Linked DNA regions of Notamacropus eugenii. The protein of the gene in region 1 interacts with the protein of each later gene in a pairwise test. Links are inferred from orthologs where the notes say so. Each region holds a gene or a part of one and is shown on either strand. Other genes may lie near its edges.

Region 1 (10,521 bases):
TGCCACGTTCAAGAAGGGGTTTGGACTCTGAAAATTCAGGCTCAGAATAAAAAGCCCAGGGAGCTCATATAACAAATGAAGATGCGGGGAACACTGATGCCAGCATCTGCAAGTTTGGCCCACTTTGTACCCTACAGGGAAGCAACGGCAGTGGAGAGTACCATGGGAACGAGCAGAGAAGCCCCTACCTCTAGAGAGGGTCTGAGGCAGCTTGGTACGAGTTTCTTCCTGCTTTGCCCCAGGTTTGGATGTAATCTCTTTGGCCAGCGTGTGAGAAATGGCTACCAGGAGCAGGAACATGGACACTGACATCTTCTCCATGGCGAATGCTGAGGAGGAGGAGGAGGAGGAGGAGGAGGAGGAGGAAAGAAAGGTGAATGACTTTTCAAAATCTCAGATTAAGACCCAAGGAGCTGCAGAAAGTGGGCTTGGCTGGGTGTATAGCCTGCCTTTGCTGGTCTACTCTGCCAAGGAAGTGGAATTTCACCTCACTCATGATCTCAGGCACTGTGGTCTCTGATCACGGGTCTCAACAGGGTACTCAGTTTGATTTCAATAATCTTTTAAAAATATACCAATGATTCTACTCTATGATAATAATCTGGAACCTCTCCCCTCTTCTTCTGCTCTATGGCTGTGTGATCATAAGACAGGTCAGTTCACCTTGCTGGGCCTCAGTTTCCTCATCTGTAATACAGGGATAATAATTCCCAAATTAATTACTTCAATAGTTGTTATGAGGAAAGTGCTTCCCACAATTCCATTAAAGCATCTGTTGGCATGAGTCATGATCACCATTACTTGGGTAATCACTGCCACCATCTCCATCAGCAGCAGCATCATCAGAAACACATACTCCTCATTATCATCAATATTGCCATTACCATCATCACAGTTGTTATCCTATTGTCATGGCCTTTACCATCATCACCACCATCTTCCTTGTTGCCATTGTCATCCCTATCAACACCATAAAAATCCCACCAGGATTGTCACAAGCATCCTCTTTTTCCTCTTCTTTCTCTTCCTTCTCTTTCCTTCTCATTGCCATCATTATCATCATCATTGCCCCCATCAACACCATTAGAGGCCCCCACCATCCTCATGACCATCACCATCAGAAGCATCCCCCTCCACATCATCTCCACCCATCATCATTGTCATTAATACATCCAGTATTATCTTTGTTATCACCTCCGTCATTCTCATAATCTTCTTCATTTTCTTTTATTCCTCTTTGTTTTTGGTGAAAGCCACTACTGGGGATAAATGAAGGAGCTTTATCCAAAAGCAAAGCATCAGTGTTAGGAACGGAAAGGCGGCAGATGTTTCATTTAGAGACAGACAATTGTATTACTTCCATCCTATTCAACTCAGAAACGTGTTTTTAAAATCAACAAATATGGACAAAACACTTCTACGAGGTTCTGGGAATATGGGAGCCCCCAAAACCATTCCTGATCCCAAGGAGCTTATCTTTTATGAGGGGGCAGAACATGCACACACACAAATAGAGTACAAAAATAATTGAGGGGGAGAGAGACAGAGAGAGACAGAAACAGAGACACTGAGAGACAGAGAGAGACAGAGAGAGAGAAGGGCACTTGGAAGGAGAGGTTTCTCAAAGGAGGTGGCCCAGTCTATTTCTACTCTTCATGGAGATGATACAACCCAAAAAGGTCTCTTCTGATTCTGAAATGCTAAGACTCTCTGTGTGTTCCTGTGCCTTATAGGACCAGCATTAATACAGCTTTCTTAACTATAGTCTAGAATATTCCAAACCTTGCTTATAGGAAATGCTGGGCTCCTTACTCTAGAACATCAGAGTCAAATGAATGGTAAGGGAAGGTGGACGAGTGAGTTGGTGAAGGATCGGGGGTAAGTCTGCTCTTCTGGAAGCCTCAGAGATCTGGTCAAACATTGATCTCATAGTGCCCCCTCAATGACCCTTTAAAGTTTGCTCAATAAACCCTGTGAAGTAGGTACTATGAATATCATTATCTCCATTTTACAGATAAGGAAACTGATCCCCTGGGGCTAAGTGACTTGCCCAGGGTCTCACAGCTAGTGCATAGAATTCCTCAGATGGAATTCAAACTCAGGGCCCCTGAGCCTGAGTCCAGCCCTTGTCTCTGAAGAACATAGTACCTTTCCCACATGAAGCTTATAATTCTCAGGTGGATATAATTTTGAACTTGATCAAATGCATACAGAATTAATTGCACTGCCAAAAGATGGCAGATGGCAGAGCTTGTGAGAGTCATTATTTGGAACATGAATCTTGGTGCAGCACCAGCTGATAGAATGATCTCCTGCTCGTTTCTGATTTCAGATAATCACATACCGTTCTTAAATTCACCATTGTTTTCTTTTCTGAAAATGTAGGATTGTTTTTACACCATTTAATTTCCAAATATATCACTATCCTTCCCCCTTCTAAAAGTGCCACCTCTGATAGCAAAGAATAGAAAAAAGGGATAGAAGAAAGCAAAAGAAAATTGGGAAATGCATCAATGGCCTCTGGGCATGTATGCAGTGGACCACACCCATTGTCTCCAACCTTTGCAAAGAAGGGAGAGATGCATTTTCCCCTCCTCTCCTCTTCAGTGGTCAATTGTTTTCAATTCCAAGCACCACAGGATGCTTTTTTACTTACACAGGAAAAAAGAGAGAAAGAAAGAAAGAAGGAAAGAAAGAAAGAAAGAAAGAAAGAAAGAAAGAAAGAAAGAAAGAAAGAAAGAAAGAAAGAAAGAAAGAAAGAGAGAAAGAAAGAAAGAGAGAAAGAGAGAAAGAGAGAAAGAGAGAAAGAGAGAAAGAAAGAAAGAGAGAAAGAAAGAAAGAGAGAAAGAAAGAAAGAGAGGAAGAGAGAAAGAAAAAAAGAGAGAAAGAAAGAAAGAAAGAAAGAAAGAAGGAAAGAAGGAAAGAAAGAAACAAGGAAAGAAAGAAACAAAGAAAGAAAGAAAGAGAGAAAGAGAGAAAGAGAGAGAGAGAGAAAGAAAGAGAGAAAGAGAGAAAGAAAGAGAGAAAGAAAGAAAGAGAGAGAGAAAGAGAGAGAGGAAGAGAGAGAGAAAGAGAGAAAGAAATAAAGAGAGAAAGAAAGAAAGAAAGAAAGAAAGAAAGAAAGAAAGAAAGAAAGAAAGAAAGAAAGAAAGAAAGAAAGAAAGAAAAAGAAAAGGAAAGCCATATTCCCTAATTCCTGAACAGACAAAGAGCTCTCAGAGATCTCTTTCCCTTCGCCTCACCAAGATGCTCAAGCTCCTACGTTCTATTTACCTTCTGGGGGCTGTGACTTGGGGAAGCTGATAGAGGGCTGGGCCTGGAGGAAGACCTAAGTTCAACTCTGGCCTCAGACACTTACAGTTATGTGACCTTGGACAAAGTACTTAACTGCTGTTTGCCTCAGTTTCTTCAACCGCTAAATGGGGATAATAACAGCACCCACCTCCCAGGGTTGCTGTGAGGGTCAGAGGATAATATTGATAGAATGCTTAGCAAAGTGGTTGGCACATAGTAAATCCTCGTTCCGTCTTCCTTTCAGGAAGGTTCGCTCAGAGAAGTACGCTGGATAAGCACTTGTGAGGCACCTGCTGTGTTCTAGGCACTGTGCTGGGTGATAGTGATGGTGTTTAGTCATTTTACGTTCTTGCCTGACTGTTCCGACCCCATTTGGGGTTTTCTTGCCAGAGACTCTGGAATGGTTTATCATTTCCTTCTCCAGTTCAGGAGTGACATGTCCAGGGTCACACAGCTACCAAGTGTCTGGGGCCAGATTTGATTTCAGGAAGATGAGTCTTCCTAACTCCAGTCCTGGCACTCTATCCACTGTGATACCCAGCTGCCCCTGATGAAGGTGATAACAAAAACTAAAACTGAATGTTTGGGATCTAACTGAATTCTCTGGGTACACTTCCTCTTTCAAAGACACTTCCTGAGCTCTACAATGTCAAGATCCCTTCAAATCCAAAAGAACTGTGCTTGGCAAGCTTCCTGCAAAGGCGTTTTTATAAGTGGTCACCACCTTATAAAAATATTGCTTTGTTGGGTCACATTCATCCGTTGCTATGTACGCGTGCACACTCCCAGAGTAGGGATGAAGACTCCTTAAGAGCCAGCAGGCCACCATTGTCCTCATGTTCTTGGGAGGGGTGCTTGGCAAGCATTTCTGCTAACACTTTGGTGCCCTCCAGGACCCTCACCTGCTTCACCCCTTCCAACTTAACTGTGCCAGAGCCTGACAAAATGCCTGGTGTTACTATCACAGCAGAGGAAGTGGGCAATAAGAATGTCTATTTGCAATATACAGGTAGAAATCATGTGTCCTAAATTGGGCACAAAACCACACTCAAGCTTGCCTGACCAGAGCAGAAGCCAGATTGTCTTTGTTTATCAGCATTGATTTTGTAATCAAATAAATGAAATTTAAAAAGCAAAGGATTAATGAAAGTGAAATTCTAGCATTTAGCCCTTTTACACATGGAAAATCGTCTGGCATCAAAGATTCTTCTGGAGAACTGGGATGTTTTGGTTCAGCCAACTGAAGAAAGTGACTGGTAGCATCCTTTCTGTGTCTGGAGATGGTAGCCTCAACCAAATCCTCCGCTGCTCAGAAGGGTCCTAGTCATTTCCATGACCCCAGTAGCACAATCCAAGGACCATCGTCCTGGACACAGCCTGGATCTGCACTGCCTGTTTACTGCCTCCAGCTTCTCCCAGGAATCTCCCTTCCTGCCAGGTGCACATCTCTATCTATAGGAAAGCAAGAACAGGAGGCTTACCTGCTGCCCCTCCCACGTGCACTTGCTAGAAGAGCCAGGAACCTGTTCCAAAGTTCTGAGTGTAGGTGTGCTGAGAGTCTCTATTTATGCACCTGAGCACACCCGATCCCACCCACCAGCCTAGCATTTACGTATAGCTAACCAGGAAATCAGCTACTCTTTGCCCCCAAAGATCGAACTGTCCTTGGCTAACAGACTCCCCCCTCTTTAATAACCCACAAAGAAAACAATTGTTTAGTTTATGCACATTTAAAAATATCCATGCATGGGCATTTGATGGGGGTTTTGAGGACCTGGGCACATGGCCAAGTCCAGGTAAGCTTAAATCAAAACTGTGGATTTGTCTGAAGGCTGATTTGTCTTGATGTGATTGGATAGACTTTGGGGACTGGAGGACACTGCTGGGGTTTGTGGCTTTTTTTTCCCTCCCCTTTTGGAGATTTCTTTTGTTGAATTGAAAAAAAACTGGACCAAGTGATTCAGAGGTTCTTGCTATGCTGATGTAGCCTTAGGCAACCAATCCTGTACAAAGAAATCATTTCCCATCCCAGACCTTTTCTCTGGCAGCTGAAACTTGTGATCCAAAAACTGGATACTGGGAAAACTCAGCCAAAGGCTGAACTTAGGAGGTGACTCTGTTATTGAGAAGTTTCTAAAAGTGTTTTACTTTTCCGTTGCTTATTGCATGTTCACCAGATCATCAATTTGCCCTTCACAACGTCCCTTGCACCAAATTTCGCCACCCCAGTCTCTGTACTTACACAGTCCCTGCCTTGCTGAAGCAATCTCTAACCATTTCTCGTCTGGATGGGATTGAATTGATTTATTGTTGTGGTTCAGTTGTTTCATACCCTTCATGACCCCATCTGGGTTTTCTTGGCAGAGATACTGGAGTGAATTATCATTTCCTTCTCCAGCCCATTTTGCAGATGAGGAAATTGAGGCAAGCAGGTTAAGTGATTTGCCTAGGGTCACATAGCTAGTAAGTGTCTGAGGCTGGATTTAAGCTCAAGAAAGTCCCTTTCAGATGATGTTTCTTCACTTATCCTCTGCTCTACTTAAATTGGCTACTAGTGATTTGCTGCATGAAACATTGCATATCCCACCTATGAGCCTTTCCACAGGCTGTGCCCCCTGCCAGGGTGTGTTGCTTTCCTCACCTCTGCCTCTTTTAGTCTCTCACTCCCTTCTATGTACAATTCAGGTGCAGTTTTCCATGTGATACCCTTCCTGAGCTCCCAGGTGTTAGTTCTCTAGCCTCTAGAAATGACTGCTATTCTGCAAATATCTGAGTGTCAAATATTACCAGGGGTGCTGAGTAGCTCAGTGGATAGAGCATTGGCCCTGGAGTCATGAAGTATGGAGTTCAGTTCTGACCTTGGGTCTGCTTATGATGTGTGTGACCCCAGGCAAGTTGCTTGATATCTTTGCCTCAGTTTCCTTATCTGTAAAATAGGTATAACTATAGTTCTCACCTCCCAGGGTTATTGTAAAATTCTTTGCAAACAAAATGCTTTATAAATGCTAGGAGACTATTTAAACTTTTATTATTAATATAATCAATTAAGTTAATAATTTTCCTTATGTTAAACCATCCCTGCATTCCTGGCTTAAATTCCACTTGCTCATAATGTATAATCTTTGTAATATATTGTTCCAATCTTTTACCGAGCATTTTATTTAGGATTTTTGCATCTGTATTCGTTATTGAAATTGTTCTGTTATTTTTTTTCTCTGCTTTTACTCTTCCTGGTTTAGATGTCAGTATCATATTTGTCTCAAAAGGAGTTTGGTCACACACTTTCTTTGCCTATTGTGCCAAATAATTTATTTAATATTGGAATTAGTTGATCTTTAAATGTTTGATAGGATTTGCTTGTAAATCTGTTTGGTCCTGGTGTTTTTTTTCTTAGGAAGCTCATTTATGGCAAGCTGAATTTCTTTTTCTAAAACAGGCCTATTTAGATATTCTGTTTCCTCTTCCGCCAATCTAGGCAATTTATATTTTTATAAATATTCTTTAGGGTTAGGGCTAGAATCCATTTCATTTACAATATCAAATTTATTGACATATAATTGGGGAAAATAGCTCTTTATAACTGCCTTAATTTCATCTTCTTTAGTGGTATATTTGGCTTTTTCATTTTTAGTACTAGTGATTTGATTTTTTTCTCTCTTTTTCAAATCAAACTAGCCAAGAGTCTGCCTATTTTTTCCTTCATAAATCCATCTCCTATTTTTATTTATGAATTTGATTATGATACTTAATTTTATTAATCTCGTCAAGGAAGTATCTGCGGCTGAATTTGAACTCAGGTTTTTCTGCCTCCAGCACTGCCCTTTCACACCTGTCAGAGATAGGCAGCCAGGGAAGGAAGTTAGAGTCTGGGAGGTTTCAGAGATTGATAAGAGAGCCATGGAGCCACCAATGGATGGGCCCTTCTCAGAGGTGATAGGCCCATTGATTTCCTTAAAGTTAACCAGCTTTCTGGGTAGAAAATGGAAAGGAGTGGCTTTGGAGGTCTAGTTTGGAGGAGTGGAAGGGCAGGGGCTGGTGGGTTAGAAAATGGTAGAGGAGTCCTTTTGTGGTTCCCATGATATACTTTTGAATCAGTTCAACAAAGCATTTATTCAGCTCTTGTTGTATTATCAAGAATTGTGCTAAGTAGTAGTGAAACAAATAAAAGCAAAAAGAGAGTCCCTATCTCAAGGGGCTTATATTCTAATGGGGGAAGAGAGCACATAAAAGGAGCTAAAAGCATGATGCGGCATGAGGATGTGTCCAAGTAGGGGCAAGGTGTGGATGGATGGCCTTCATTTAGACACAAAATGGAGGTTCTGGGGGGTTCTCTCCTTTGGGAGAGAATCCCTTCTCCCTAGAGACCTCTTTCTGAGTTGACATTAAACCACACAAGTGTATCCTTTGGGACAGACCAGTCAACCAATTCTGAATCATCCCAGCCTACAGGATGGACACTTAGAACACACCTCATGTCCTCCTCAGGAAGAAGGGAGAAGCTTTTGGTCTAAAGCTAAGCTGGAAATGAGGTAAGTTCTGCTTGCAACCTGCCAGTCTAGAGACTCCATCAAGAAGGAAAGTGAATAAATGACTCATCCTCTATTGGTCTATTTTAGTTTTATTGTTGTGTTTTGTATTTATACCATTTCCTCCCACCCCACCATGCCCCCAACCACTGAAACCTTACTTGTGGTCAAAGAAAGCCATTTAAGTCAAAGCAGTGCTAGTGACCCCATGTGTTGAATGAATGGATGAATGAGTTGTGATTTGAAGTAGTGACAGAAATGCTCACACTAGGAGTTATCTGCACTGGCAAAATGACAGCTTAAGTGATCCTAAATTTTGAGATCATGGGCACCTCAGAAGGCATTGAGTCCAGTCTTCTCATTTTACAGAGCAGGAGACCAATTCATTAAGATTAACTGCTGAGTCCCATCCCTCCGAAGTGTCTTGGGTGTGATTCAAACCCTGGTCTTCCTAACTGGACCTAGAGTTGTAAGGCACCTCAGAGGACCTCAAATCCAGTCCATCATATATATGTATGTATGTATGTATGTATGTATGTGTGTGTGTGTGTGTGTGTGGAAGGGACTTCTAGTTTGGTTTGATTCTAAATGAACACTCCTGGGAGAAGGCTTTGAACTTCCTAGTGAAGTGGGCTACCATGGACCAGGCTTATATCTCATTTTCCAGAGCCAACTTAATGCTAATAAATGTTATTTAGCTGGCTGGACTTTGGGCACTATCTAAAGATGTGTTCTAAGAAGCAGCTGGAATCTGACTTGGGAGGTCATAAGGGTAGGAGACAGTGAGCAAGTGGAATCCCTTGGGTGAAGACCTTGGACCAGCTGTTAGAAGCCATCATCCTTCCTCCAGGGGAGGAAGGTCCAGGAATAAGACTTTGCTGACTTACATTTTGTACAGTAACTTTAAATCTACAGAAAATATGTGTTCAATTTTTCAGAATTGGAAGTGACCTCCCAAAGGCCATCTGGTCTAACCTCTGCCTCAACAAGAATCACTGTCCACTGAGATTTCCCAGGAGCATGACCCAAAGCATGCTAGTCTACATGAGACCAGAGGTTTAATGGCAGAAGGCAACTTTTAGTGCCCTCCACCTCATTTTTTCTCCCTTTTTGGGAGTGGAAAACTTTTTATAAGTTGGAGACATCGCTCCCTAGATAATTTTGGAGCAACAAGGGTCTCTTCTGGGATTCTTTCTTTCTTGTTTCCAATCACCAATAATCAAAGGCAAGTGTGAGAAATAAGGAAAGCTGTGCCTTTGTAATTATTTAAGCACTTGACTCTCTGGGGCTCCCATCTTTCAAAAATAAAAAGAAGAGCAGAAGAAAAATTCATCAGGTTTCGTTTTACATGTGTGGAAACTGAGGCCCATGGAGATGAAGCGCCATAGAGTTTTAGATCTAGAGGTGGAAGGGGCCTCAGAAACCATCTAAACCAACTCTTTCATTTTACAAATGAAGAAACCAAGGTCCAGAGAGGCCAAGGTGCTTGCCCAAGGCCACGGAGGGAGTGAATGATAGAGAGGGGATTTTAACTCTGTCAGTCTTTCCACTTTAAGAAGCTAAGTCTTTATTGTCTAAAATGACCCCCCTCGGCTTAAACAGCCAAGTTTTCAAAAATGCTAGATTTCACTCTACTAAAAATTTTAAAATTCTGAATTAATATACATAAAACACTATATATGTATATTTTGTGTGTATATGTTTATTTGTGTGTACATACACATATATCCATTTGCATATGTACATATATACACACAGATACGCATGCATGTGCGTACACAGTATTCTCTGAGATCTTAGGATTAATTATTTATAAAGAAGCCCAGAATGAAAGGTTACCCTCTATTCAACTCAATGAGTTTTTCTTTACTTCTATACTTGGGGTAGTAGGAGAGTCTTTTTCTGGTGAATATCCTACTCAGTCTAAATGAACATCCTCACTTCCTTGAATGGAGACTTTTGATTGAAAGCCTGAGCTGGGGGCCAGACAGGAGGTGCTACGTCATAAAAGAGAAGAAAGCCCCATTTGAATAGGATCAATGATAGTCAATTTTATCTTCATTTACCACAGAGTAAAAATGAACCTACCGCACAAAGGAATGCCTCTAATCAGGCATCTTTTTTATTATTATCGATGTCAACAAATCCTCCCTTTCAGCAGAGAATAGGTAGCAACAAAACACTCTCAGAATTATAGATTGAAAATTGGAAGCTACCTTGGTGGCCATGAAACCCAACCTAGGCCCTAAAGAAATCTCCTCTATGATGATGCCTTTGCTGGGGCAAAGACAGCCCAAAATGAGACTCCTCCTCAGAGGGCTTACAGTCTGCTGTTCCCAGTTCACCCATAGGTGCTATCACCTTACCCACCTCTCTCCATATTCTCTGTACAAACTCAGTGGAAGACCTTGTCAAGCAGCACAGGCCCCATTCTGCACTGGCCAACCCCCACCTCTCTTCTGACAGGAGGGAAGTATTCCAGGTCTCTTTAATAAAAGGCAGTAAAGATAGGATGCCAGGCTTAACTGCAGTCAGAAAGTCCTGGGTTCAAATCCACCTGGCCCTTATTAAACCATGGACCAGGTTCTCCTTTGCTCCACGGTTCAGATTCCTCTCCAAGACTCACATTCCGTACTATAGAAAGGTCCTGCTGTGTCCTATCCTAGTGAATTTACAGATCCCTGACATGTTGATACACCGA
Region 2 (10,678 bases), on another chromosome or scaffold:
CACTACCCAGATACTGAAAAGTTTCAAGAGTTACAAATATTGTCTTCCCATGTAGGAATGTAAACAGTTCAACTTTAATAAGTCCCTTAGGAATTCTCTTTGCTATTTACCTTTTCATGCTTCTCTTCATTCTTGTGTTTGAAAGTCACATTTTCTTTTCAGCTCTGGTCTTTTCATCAAGAATGCTGGAAAGTCCTCTATTTCATTGAAAGACCATTTTTCCCCCTGAAGCATTATACTTACTTTTGCTGGGTAGGTGATTCTTGGTTTTAGTCCTAGTTCCTTTGACTTCTGGAATATCATATTCCATGCCCTTCTATCCCTTAATGTAGAAGCTGCTAGATCTTGTGTTATCCTGATCGTATTTCCACAATACTTGAATTGTTTTTTTCTAGCTGCTTGCAATATTTTCTCCTTGACCAGGGAACTCTGGAATTTGGCCATAATGTTCCTAGGAGTTGCTCTTTTTGGATCTCTTTCAGGCGGTGATTGGTGGATTCCTTGAATACTTATTTTGCCCTCTGGTTCTAGGGCTCCTCCCCCCCTACACAATTTTTTAAAGAATCGCCTCATCACACTTAGCTCAGCCCAAGCCTTTCTTTCAAACTACCCCAATAAACGTGGCCCTCCTAAAAGAACTCATAATATTTTCATGCATAAGAAGTGTACAATTTCGCTTGAGTCCCATGTAATTGATAGTTAATGTTTACTTTACATTTCTCCTGTTAGTTCTGTTTTTGTCACAAATATCTGAAAGTCCCCCCCATTGAGGATGATACTTGCCTTCACTGGGTAAGTAAGTTACCCTTGATTGCAATCCCAGCTCTTTTGTTCGGCAAAATAAAGTATTCTAAGGTCTATAGTCCTTCAACATCATAGCTACGAGGACTTGTGTAATCCTTATTGCAGCTTCATGATATTTCAATTGTTTTATTCTTGTTCCTTCCAATATTTTTTGCTTAACCTGAAACTTTGAAATGTGACTATGATATTCTGGTAAGTTTTCCTCTTGGAATCTTTTTCAGGTGGTGATGGGTGGGTTATTTTCTATTTCTGTTTTGCCATCCTGTTCTTGAACTTCAGGGCAATTTTTCTTGATCATTTCTTGTAATATTGTATCAATATTCTTTTTTAGTTATAATTTTCAGGAAGTCTGTATTTTTATATTATTTCTCCTCAATCTAGTCTCTAGATAAGTTGTTTTTCTGAAGAGATGTTTCACATTTTCTTCTATTTTTCATTCTTTTGATCTTGTTTTATTATTTCTGTATATCTTAGAATGCCATTAGTTTCACTTTGCCCTATTCCAGTTTTCAAGGAAATATTTTTTCCTTGATTTTTGATTCTCTATTTCAAATTGGTTGACTTTCTTTTCAAAATTTTCTTGATTTTCTTGGATGGTCCTTATTTTTTTTTTCTTCAAAATTTTCTTCCATCTCTCTTATTTGATTTTTAAAGTCCCTTCTAAAAGCTAAGAAATCTTTTTGTGCTTGGGATCATTTGATGTTTTTCATTGAAAAAGGAGTGGATTTTTTAGCTCCATTATCTTCCTCTGAATGTGAACACATATCTTCTCTATTCCCATAGTAGTTACCCATGTTTGGGTTCTTGATCATTAGTTTGCTCATTTTTATTCATTTTATTTGTTTGTTTCTAGCAACTGAGTGAACTAATAGAGTTCTAGTCCTAAGGTATGGGTAATAATACCCTAAGCCTCAGGTCCTTATTATTGCTCTTTTCTGAGGTCTCTCAACTTTGGGCTCTCCTCTTCACTCCCAAACCACTGTGAGAGCCCCCATCACAGTGTCCTACAAATGATCTTACTCCCTGTGGTCCCTCCAGTGGCTGCAAACTGTAGTTGTCCTCTCTTACCTGGAACTAAAACCAGGTCCTCTGGTACCCACAGTCAGCACTGCTACTGCACTCACCCAGTGTATGTTAGCTCCTTCTCCCCACAACCATAGTCCAAGACGTGTCTGGTCAGCACAGCGGCACTTGGTGTTGCTCAACAGTGGAAGGTCCTTCAAACTTCTCTTACTCAGCCATCAGACCTGAGATGAAAGTTTCTAAGACTGGGGCTGCCTGGAAACCTCAGCTGCCCCCAGGACTTGTAGTTTGTTGATTCTGCAGAGTTGACCTAGAGGTGTTTGCACTTCACCCAGGCTGACCTCTGTTCTGGAAGCTAGGTCTTTTCCTGGGGTCTTCTTAGGTTTTCTTAGGAGAACAACTGCTTTACTCTGACCTTTTTAAAAAAATTCTGCTCCTTTGCAGCAGAATTCCCTCTGAGGAAGTGTCTTTTTCTGTGGAGGAAATTTGGAGAACCGAAAGTTTTCTGACTTCCTCCACCATCTTCCCCAAATCCTCTCCCAGCACAATTTCTTTTTAAAAAAGCTGTTTTATTTTTTCTTTTAAAAATAATTTATTTATTTTTAGTTTTCAACATTCACTTCCATAAGATTTTGAATTTTAAATTTTCTCCCCTTTCTTTCCTTCCCCCCTCCCCAAGATGGCATTTGATCTGATATAGATTACAATGTACATTCATATTAAATATATTTTCACATTTGTCATGTTGTAAAGAAGAATTAGAATCAATGGAAGAAACCACAAAAAAGAAGAAATAAACAACAAAAACGGAGAACAAATGGTATGTTTCCATGTGGATTAAGACTTTGTAATTCTTTCTCTGGATGTGGACAGCATTCTCCATCATGAGCCTTTTGGAGTTGTCTTGGGTCATTATATTGCAGAGAAGAGCTAAGTCTATCAAACCTAGTCTAACAACTAGGTTTGAATTGCATTATGAATATTTTTCTCAATCATTTTCTTAACCCTAGACAGTTAATAAAACTATACATCAAACCCTGATTTGTAGTTTGCTAATTTATGTAGTGTAGATGCTCACACTAAAAATTTAACAATAGGTTCTTGGTATGATCAGGATCCTTAGTGAAAACAGATGCCAAGTCCTTTCTCATTCTGCCCTGCTCTGAGTCTGGGATTAAGTGGGGGGGAGGGAGAAGAGGGGGGTTATTAGCAAATAGAAAACACTTCAAAGATTTCGAGTTTGCCCTTCTTAGTCCACATTCCAACAGATTCCCTTTGCCTTTTTTCAGTTGCTGCCATTTCTTCCCACAGGGCACTGACCTTCTGGGATGGGCTGGTACTGACTGGAAGGATGATTATAAAATTTGATTGCTCTTGAATCTACTGAAATCTTTGCAGATAAGAAAGAGAAACAAACCAACTGTGAGATAGTGATCATCCTTCTGCTAGCAGATACAAAGTGCAATCTAAATAAACTCTAATTCTTAGTTTATCTGTCTCCCATTGCATCCTGGGCTATCTCCAGTCATCCTGATGTATATCAGGCCACTGGACCCTAATGGCTCTGGAGAAGAAAGTGAGGTTGGTAACCTTGCACAGTTCTCTGCCTCACTCAAATCAGTCAATTGAAAGGCATGTCATCATCTCTTGGAGAATGAAGGACAAAGCACACACAATCCAACCATTTATTCACATTCAAATTAGCCTCCCTATTTGAGTCTTTTCACCCCTCGTAATCCATTCTCCTATTCTGAGTCTTTCTCCCCCTTGACAAAACTGCCAAACTGATATTCCTAAAACACAAATTTGGTGTTCAGTTGTGCCCAACTCTTCATGACCTCGTTTGGGGTTTTCTTGGCAAAGATACTTGAGTGGTTTGCCATTTCCCTCTCTAGCTCATTTTACAATTGAGGAAACAGAGGCAAACAAAGTTAAGTGACTTGCCCAGGGTCACACAGCTAGTGAGTGTCTGAGGCCAGATTTGAACTCAGGTCTTCCTGACTCCAGACTTGGCACGCTATTCAGAACTCTTCCATGGCTCCCTATTGCCTCTGAAAGAAAATGTATCTTCAGCCCTTCACTTAAAACCCTCTGCAGAAGTCAGTGACAAACCATTAAACTCAAAAATATTCCAATCATTAGAATATTAGCAGCTTAGATCACAAAGTAAATAACTTTACTCAAATGAGACTTTGAGAGGAAAAGCACCCTGAAAAAATGCAATATTATAGAACTAACAAACTCAGCAATTCAATGGAGTAATAAGAAGAAATATAACAATAGCCAAAAGACTGAGAAATGAAAGGGACAAATAAGATATCTACTACAAAAAAACTGACCTGGAAAACAGGATGAGTAGAGACAATTAAAAATCATTAAATTTGGAAGTACAGCCAAGATGGTGGAGAAAAGGCAGCAGCTTACCTGAACTCTTGCCCAAACCCCTCTGAATGCCTTTAAATAATGCCAAGGGACAGTTCCTGAAGAGGCAGAAGCCTCCAAAGGGTGGGGTGGAAGAATGTTCCAGCCAAAGACAACATGGAACTTCAACAGAAAAGATCTGTTGTGCCAGGGCTCTCACCCTTACTTAGCTCCTTCCAGATGCATATTCTTCCCTTCTCTTCTATGCTTGTGCCTCAAAGGGAGTGCAGCGCTGACCAGGCCTCAGTAAACCAGAAGTAGGGATTGGGAGCCACTGAATCAGCAGCAGCTGCTTCCGGAGCTCTCAGCCCACAGACGGTAATGGGGCTGAACAACCAGTCAGAAAGAGATTGCAGTGGTCTTGTTGCAGCTGCAGTGGAGCAGGAGCCCTTGCCTTTCTAGGGCAGAAAAGAGCGCTTGTGGTCACTCACAGAACAGAGCACAGGCTAGGAGAAGAGTAAACGTACTTCTCTTTAGATCATACCATAGCAGGGTAAAATAGAAATTCAAAGAATCCACCAATCATCTTCTGAAAGAGATCTCCAAATGAAGATTCCCAGGAATGTTATAGCCAAATTCCAGAGCTCCTAGGCCAAGGAGAGAATCTTGAAGGTAGCCAGAAAGAAATAATTCAAGTATCATGGAGCCACAGTCAGGATAACACAAGATTTAGCAATTTTTCCATTAAAGAATGGGAGGGCTTGGAATATGATATGCCAGAGGGTAGAGGAACTAGGATTCCAACCAAGAATCACTTACCCAGCAAAACTGAGTATAATCCTTCAGAGGGGAAAATGGATATTTAATGAAATAGAGGATTTTCAAGCATTCTTGATGAAAATACTAGAGCTGAGTAGGAAAATTTTATTAAAAAGAAGCATAAAAATGTAAAGAGGAAAGGGAAATCATAAGGGTCTTAATAAAGTTAAATTGTTTACATTCATACATGGGAAGTGTTGCTTGTAATTCATAAGAACTTTTTCATTATTAGGGCAGTTAGAAGGACTATATATAGAGGGCAGAGGTGTGAATTGAATATGAAGGGATGACATCTCAGAAAAAATAAGAGTGAGAGAGGAATGTGCTGGGAGAAAGGGAAAGGGACAAATAAAGTAAGGTAAATTATCTCACAAAAAAGAGGTAAAAAAGCTTTTACAGTGGAGGATAAGATGGGGGAGATACAGGGGAGTGAGTGAATATTGAGCAGCATTGGCTCAAAGAGGGAATAACATACACACTTAATTGGGTATAGAAATGCATCTTACCCTACAGGAAAGCAGGAGGGGAAAGGGATAAGAGAAGGGGGGGCAGTGACAGAAGGGAGGGCAGGTTGAGGGAAGGGGTCATCAGAAGCAAAACATCTTTGAGAATGGACAGGGAGAAATGAGAGACAGAATAACAGGGGGATGGGTGTCAAATAGGATGGAGGGAAATACAGTCAACAATAGTAAATGTGAAAAAAAATTTGAAGCAAGTTTCTTTAATAAAGGCCTCATTTCTCAAACATATAGAGAACTGAGTCAAATTCATAAAAATAAGAGCCATTCCCAGTTGATAAAAGATCAAAAAATATGAACAGTTTTCAGATGAAGTAATCAAAGCTATCTATAGCCCTATGAAAAAAATGCTCTAACTCATTATTGATTGGAGAAATGCAAATTAGAACAATTCTGTGGTACTCCCTCATACTTATTAGATTGTCTAATAGGATAGCAAAGGAAAATGATCAATGTTGGAGGGGAGCTGGGAAAAATGATACGTTATGCATTGTTGGTGGAATTGTGAAATGATTCAACCATTCTGTAGAGCAATTTGTAACTATGTCCAAAGGGCCACAAAAGCCTCCATACCTTTTGACTGAGCAATACCACTGTTAGGTCTATATCCCAAAAGAGATTTAAAAAAAAAAAAAGGAAAGGACCTGTATGTATGAAAGTATTTACAACTGTTCTTTTCTGGTGGCAAGGAATTGGAAACTGAGATGCCCATCGTTTTGGGGATGACTGAACAAATTGCACGGAATACTATTTTGTAATAAGAAATGATGAGCAAGAGGCTCTCAGAAAAACCTGGAAAGCCTTACAAGAGCTGATGCAGAGTAAAATGTAAATGTGCTGTGTACAAAGTAACAGCAATATTGTAAGATAATCAGCTGAGAATGAGTTGGCTGTTGTCAGCGATACAAAGATGCAGACAACCCTAAAGACCCTAGGATGAACAATGCGCTCCATCCCTGGGGAAAGAACTTAGGGAGTCTGAAAACAGACTGAAGCAGACTTTTTTAAACTTTCTTTCTTTCTTGAGTTTTTTCCTCTGATTTCTTTCACAACATGACTAATATGAAAATGTTTTGTGTGACTACACATGTATCATGTGAAAAAGAGCAGGGGAAAAAAGCACACAAGTATTACCTGTGCTCATCTTCCTCTATATATCCACTCTCAGTTTCCTTTCTCATATTAATTGAAGTGCTTGATTTTCAGGAAGTCTTATGAAATAACAGCGGGCTCTATTTTCCACAGTCATGGGGAAAGTTTTCCCTTTGTTTCTGGCCAAAGTATTTGAAAAGAACAAGAACATTGTCTACAGCTAAGAGCATGTGGCCTTGAATCTGGGCTGATGGCTAGTGAGTAACTCCCACATTCTTCCTCCTCTATCTTCCTGTCATTCTTTTCCTTTTATTCCAAAAAAAATGGAAACAAATTAGATCACAGTGTGAGGACTGCAAGGCACCAGAGAGGTCATCCAATCTAACTCCCTCATTTTACAGTTGAGGAAATTGAAACTCAGGTAAGTGAAATGACTTACCTAAGGTCATACATGTATTAAGTTGGAGAGACAGGGTTTGAAACCACTTTCTCTGTCTCCAGATCCAGCATGACTTTAGATACATACATAATAAACACACACAAATAGATATGAGTTTCTATAGATATCCATAGACAGATTTAGATATAGACAGACAGACAGATAGATAGATAGGTAGATAGATGTCAAGTACTTGTTTTGTCCTAGGCCCTGTACTCAGAGGAATGAAGATTCAGAGATTAAAAACACAGTCTCTTCCCTAACAGGCAGGTTAGATCCAACCTATACACAAATATATTTGCAAAGGAGGGTGTGATGAGAACAAAGGAGAGATCCAAAGCATTTTGGGAAAATGTAAGGGTGAGCAGAGGGAGAGAATATTAACAATTCATTTTGGCTTAAATCAATTATTTTAATTCATCAAATATTTATTAAGCAGTACTCTGTTTAGATCCTAGGTACAGAGCATACAAAGACAAAACAATCCTTGCTCTCAAGAGACGTATATCCCTAGAGTACGTCATGCACACAGATAAGGAAATCAAAAATCTATACTAAATAAATACAAGGTTATTTTTAGAAGGGAGAGGGGCATGGCAATCACACAGAGGAAGGCAATTTGCCACCAGGAGGTGGCGTGTCCTATCCATGGAACACTTAGCAGGTCATCATGACTGTAAAAGAATGTGCTGCACGTCTAGCAAAGCTGGTAAGAGCCCCAATTGTGGAGAGTTTTAAAGGTCAAAAATGTCTTTGAGCAGGTGGTTCCTGACATGAACAGAGAAGGCACTGGCAGAAATGAGCAGAGTGTGTTCCTGATGTAACAGCCATCTTAGCAAGGCTTATGAAGCTGCAACAAGTCTGGGAGTTGGGTTTCCTCCCAGCCTGGGAAAAGATGAGACTAACGAGAACTAAGCCTGGAGGGTGAGTTTTTTTTCTCCCTGCAGTTGCTTGGAATTCTTAGAAAATCTCAATAGAGATCCATTTTTAAAAGATGTCATTTTGGGAGCAAGAGGTGCAAAGAGGGAGGTGGTGGGTCTTCTTCCAACACACGGAGCATCAGCACAACAGCAGTGACTGGTGGTAGCAATATCAGCAGTTCCCTTCATCTGAGCAAAGCTTCTAAGGGAGAACATGGGAGGTGAAAGGTAGAGAGGCAAAGGGGACACATAAGCTTATGGATCTGTTTTATTGTAGGCACCCAGATGGCTGCCACAGTGGGAGAGACAAAAGACGGGAAGAGCCGACTGTTCTAGCCCATTAGTTCAGATGTATGGGACAGAACCATTCCTAACCATGACTTTTTATTCTGTTAAAGACTGCACCTGACTGATTTCATATTATTTTCCATGAACATCTCCAGTTACATAAACATCTGTAGCTGACCTTCTTCTTGTATTTCCCTTTGTCCCATTCATAGTGGCATGAAGGCACAGGGGCACTCAGGGCAGAGATCTCTCCTGGCACAGGAGCTGGGATGCCATCTGCTGAACCCCTTGTTATCCTGCACCACTTGTATTTCATAACTACACTGCCAAGGACAGAATTACGATGACCTTGGGACCTTTGAAAAATCTGCCTCAGAGGTGGAACCAGTGTGGTGGGAAGGCAGGGAAAAGTAGAGCCAAACTCCTGATAAATTTCCTTCAAAAGCTCTAGAAAACATGGTAGACTGAGCAATGATCAGGAAATCCAAGAAAAATTACAGTGAGTCATGTTTCCATCTCAGATCCACACAGGAATATAGACAAAGATGTCTGTGGACTTTGGGGGCGCACAGTAACTGAAAGAAGACAAGCTTTGCACCAGGGCAAGAAGAGGTCCTAGACCCATATAGGATGTAGATACTTGTGAACTGGCAGCTCCGCCCTTCACTGTAACCCACTTTGGGGTCACAGATCCAGGACAGTCTAAGGAGTGACTATAGAGGTAGAGAGCTCTATGGGTGAGGTTCCAGAGTGAGGAGCCCTCTAGTTCCCAGGTTAGGCATGTTCATGGGCTATGTACTGAGACAGGAACCAGTTCAGAAGAAAACAGTACCTCTGTAACTCTAACTCCAAGAGCAGAGCAGGGTCTCAGTTCCAGCTTCCAGTCCAGTCTGAAGCCTATAGCAACGTAAGCAGGTGCAACGCCAATCACCACGGCACACTTGAGGGCTGCTACTGTGAATCTATATCTATATCTATATCTATCTGTATATATCTACACACATATATATATATGTATGTATATATGTGTGTATGTATATATGTGTGTATGTATATATGTGTGTATGTAAATACGTGTGTATGTATATACGTGTGTATGTATATACGTGTGTATGTATATACGTGTGTATGTAAATACGTGTGTATGTATATACGTGTGTATGTATATACGTGTGTATGTAAATACGTGTGTATGTATATACGTGTGTATGTATATACGTGTGTATGTATAGAAGTGTGTATGTATATACGCATTCACACATATGTGTATATCTATACAAATACATATGTATGTTTAGGATGGAATTGTATGAATATAATAAGTGCTCTATTATTCAAAACTAAACCTTATTCAAGGAATTAAGGCATTCACAATTCATGTCAACGCGGCAGTAGCAATATAAACTGCAGCAGTGCACATATCGCCAGAACGGCCACACGGCCTAGAACAAAACCTATCACTCAGTGTATAACATGACGTAGCCCACCCCCACCTTCTACCTTCTTTGGAGGCCAGAATCTGTGGGGCTTGAGCGACCAGCTCCTCCTCACTCAGGTACTGTCCCAAAATACTGTTTATACAGCGAGGGGTCCCAGGCCAGCGTCTTTCCTAGCACAGCACCCTCCCAGGGGTAGCAGAGAACACAACACACCCCACCCCTAAGTCACAGTAGGTTACAGTCCCCTCAATCCAAACAGAGTGGACAAGTAAAGTCCTCTTGGGAGTGTATTCTTTTCTCCACACTGCCGTTGCAGGCTCCTACCTGGCACTCTTGGGTACATATGCTGTCATGAGCCAGAGTCCAAGTCCTAATACTGCTCCAGCCCCCACTTCCGAGTACTGAGGGACAGTTGGGTGACAAAGCCAATAGGTTGGGTCCCCAGGGGTTGTAATACTTTCCCCATCCCCCCCCCCCCCCATAGACAACTCTACCCCCTGGGTCCCAACCCATCCCTGAGGGATGTAGCAGGGAAGCATGCTCACTGCTCCTGCCTTGCTGCAAAGTTTCCATCTTGACCTGGGGTGGGGGCTGAGTTCCAAGTTCTGTGGTTCTTTCTCCTGCAGGTCTGGGTGCTAACACAGGCAAGTCTCTGCTCCTGTTCCATGTCTCATCTCATGGAGGAATAGACTGCTCCATTCCAAGCTCTCCCTGATTTTACATGGCTCCAGAAACAGCAGTCTCCAGGGGCCCTTGTCCCCAGCTTCTGTCTCTGGCTTATACAACTCAAACTCCAGAGCAGCTCATCCTCCCTCAGCCTCACATAGGGAGGGGCCACTTTGGTCTGGGTTCTGTGCCTAGCACAGTTCCAAGGCCTCCACCCTCCAGCACAGTCTGGGGCAGGGCTACTCCACTTGAGCCCTGATCATGGCCATGACCTTGGCTCTGAGAAGTCAAAAGAAACTCCTCTTATTC

Evidence for each region.
Region 2: the proteins of anterior gradient protein 2 homolog (region 1) and FABP2 interact in binary tests that used the Homo sapiens proteins (3 or more experiments, as listed by UniProt). The two-hybrid records come from large-scale screens. The link is inferred for Notamacropus eugenii from reciprocal best matches to the Homo sapiens genes AGR2 and FABP2.

Annotation. Positions count from the first base shown.
Region 1 is NC_092874.1:9,748,305-9,758,825, forward strand, and holds the start of anterior gradient protein 2 homolog, read right to left. Parts: upstream 4,867-10,521; 5' UTR 4,776-4,866; intron 330-4,775; 5' UTR 322-329; coding exon 189-321; intron 1-188. UniProt on the Homo sapiens protein: Required for MUC2 post-transcriptional synthesis and secretion. May play a role in the production of mucus by intestinal cells. Proto-oncogene that may play a role in cell migration, cell differentiation and cell growth. Promotes cell adhesion.
Region 2 is NC_092878.1:164,760,191-164,770,868, reverse strand, and holds the start of FABP2 (fatty acid-binding protein, intestinal), read right to left. Parts: upstream 4,570-10,678; 5' UTR 4,409-4,569; exon of another isoform or gene 4,252-4,408; intron 1-4,251. UniProt on the Homo sapiens protein: FABPs are thought to play a role in the intracellular transport of long-chain fatty acids and their acyl-CoA esters. FABP2 is probably involved in triglyceride-rich lipoprotein synthesis.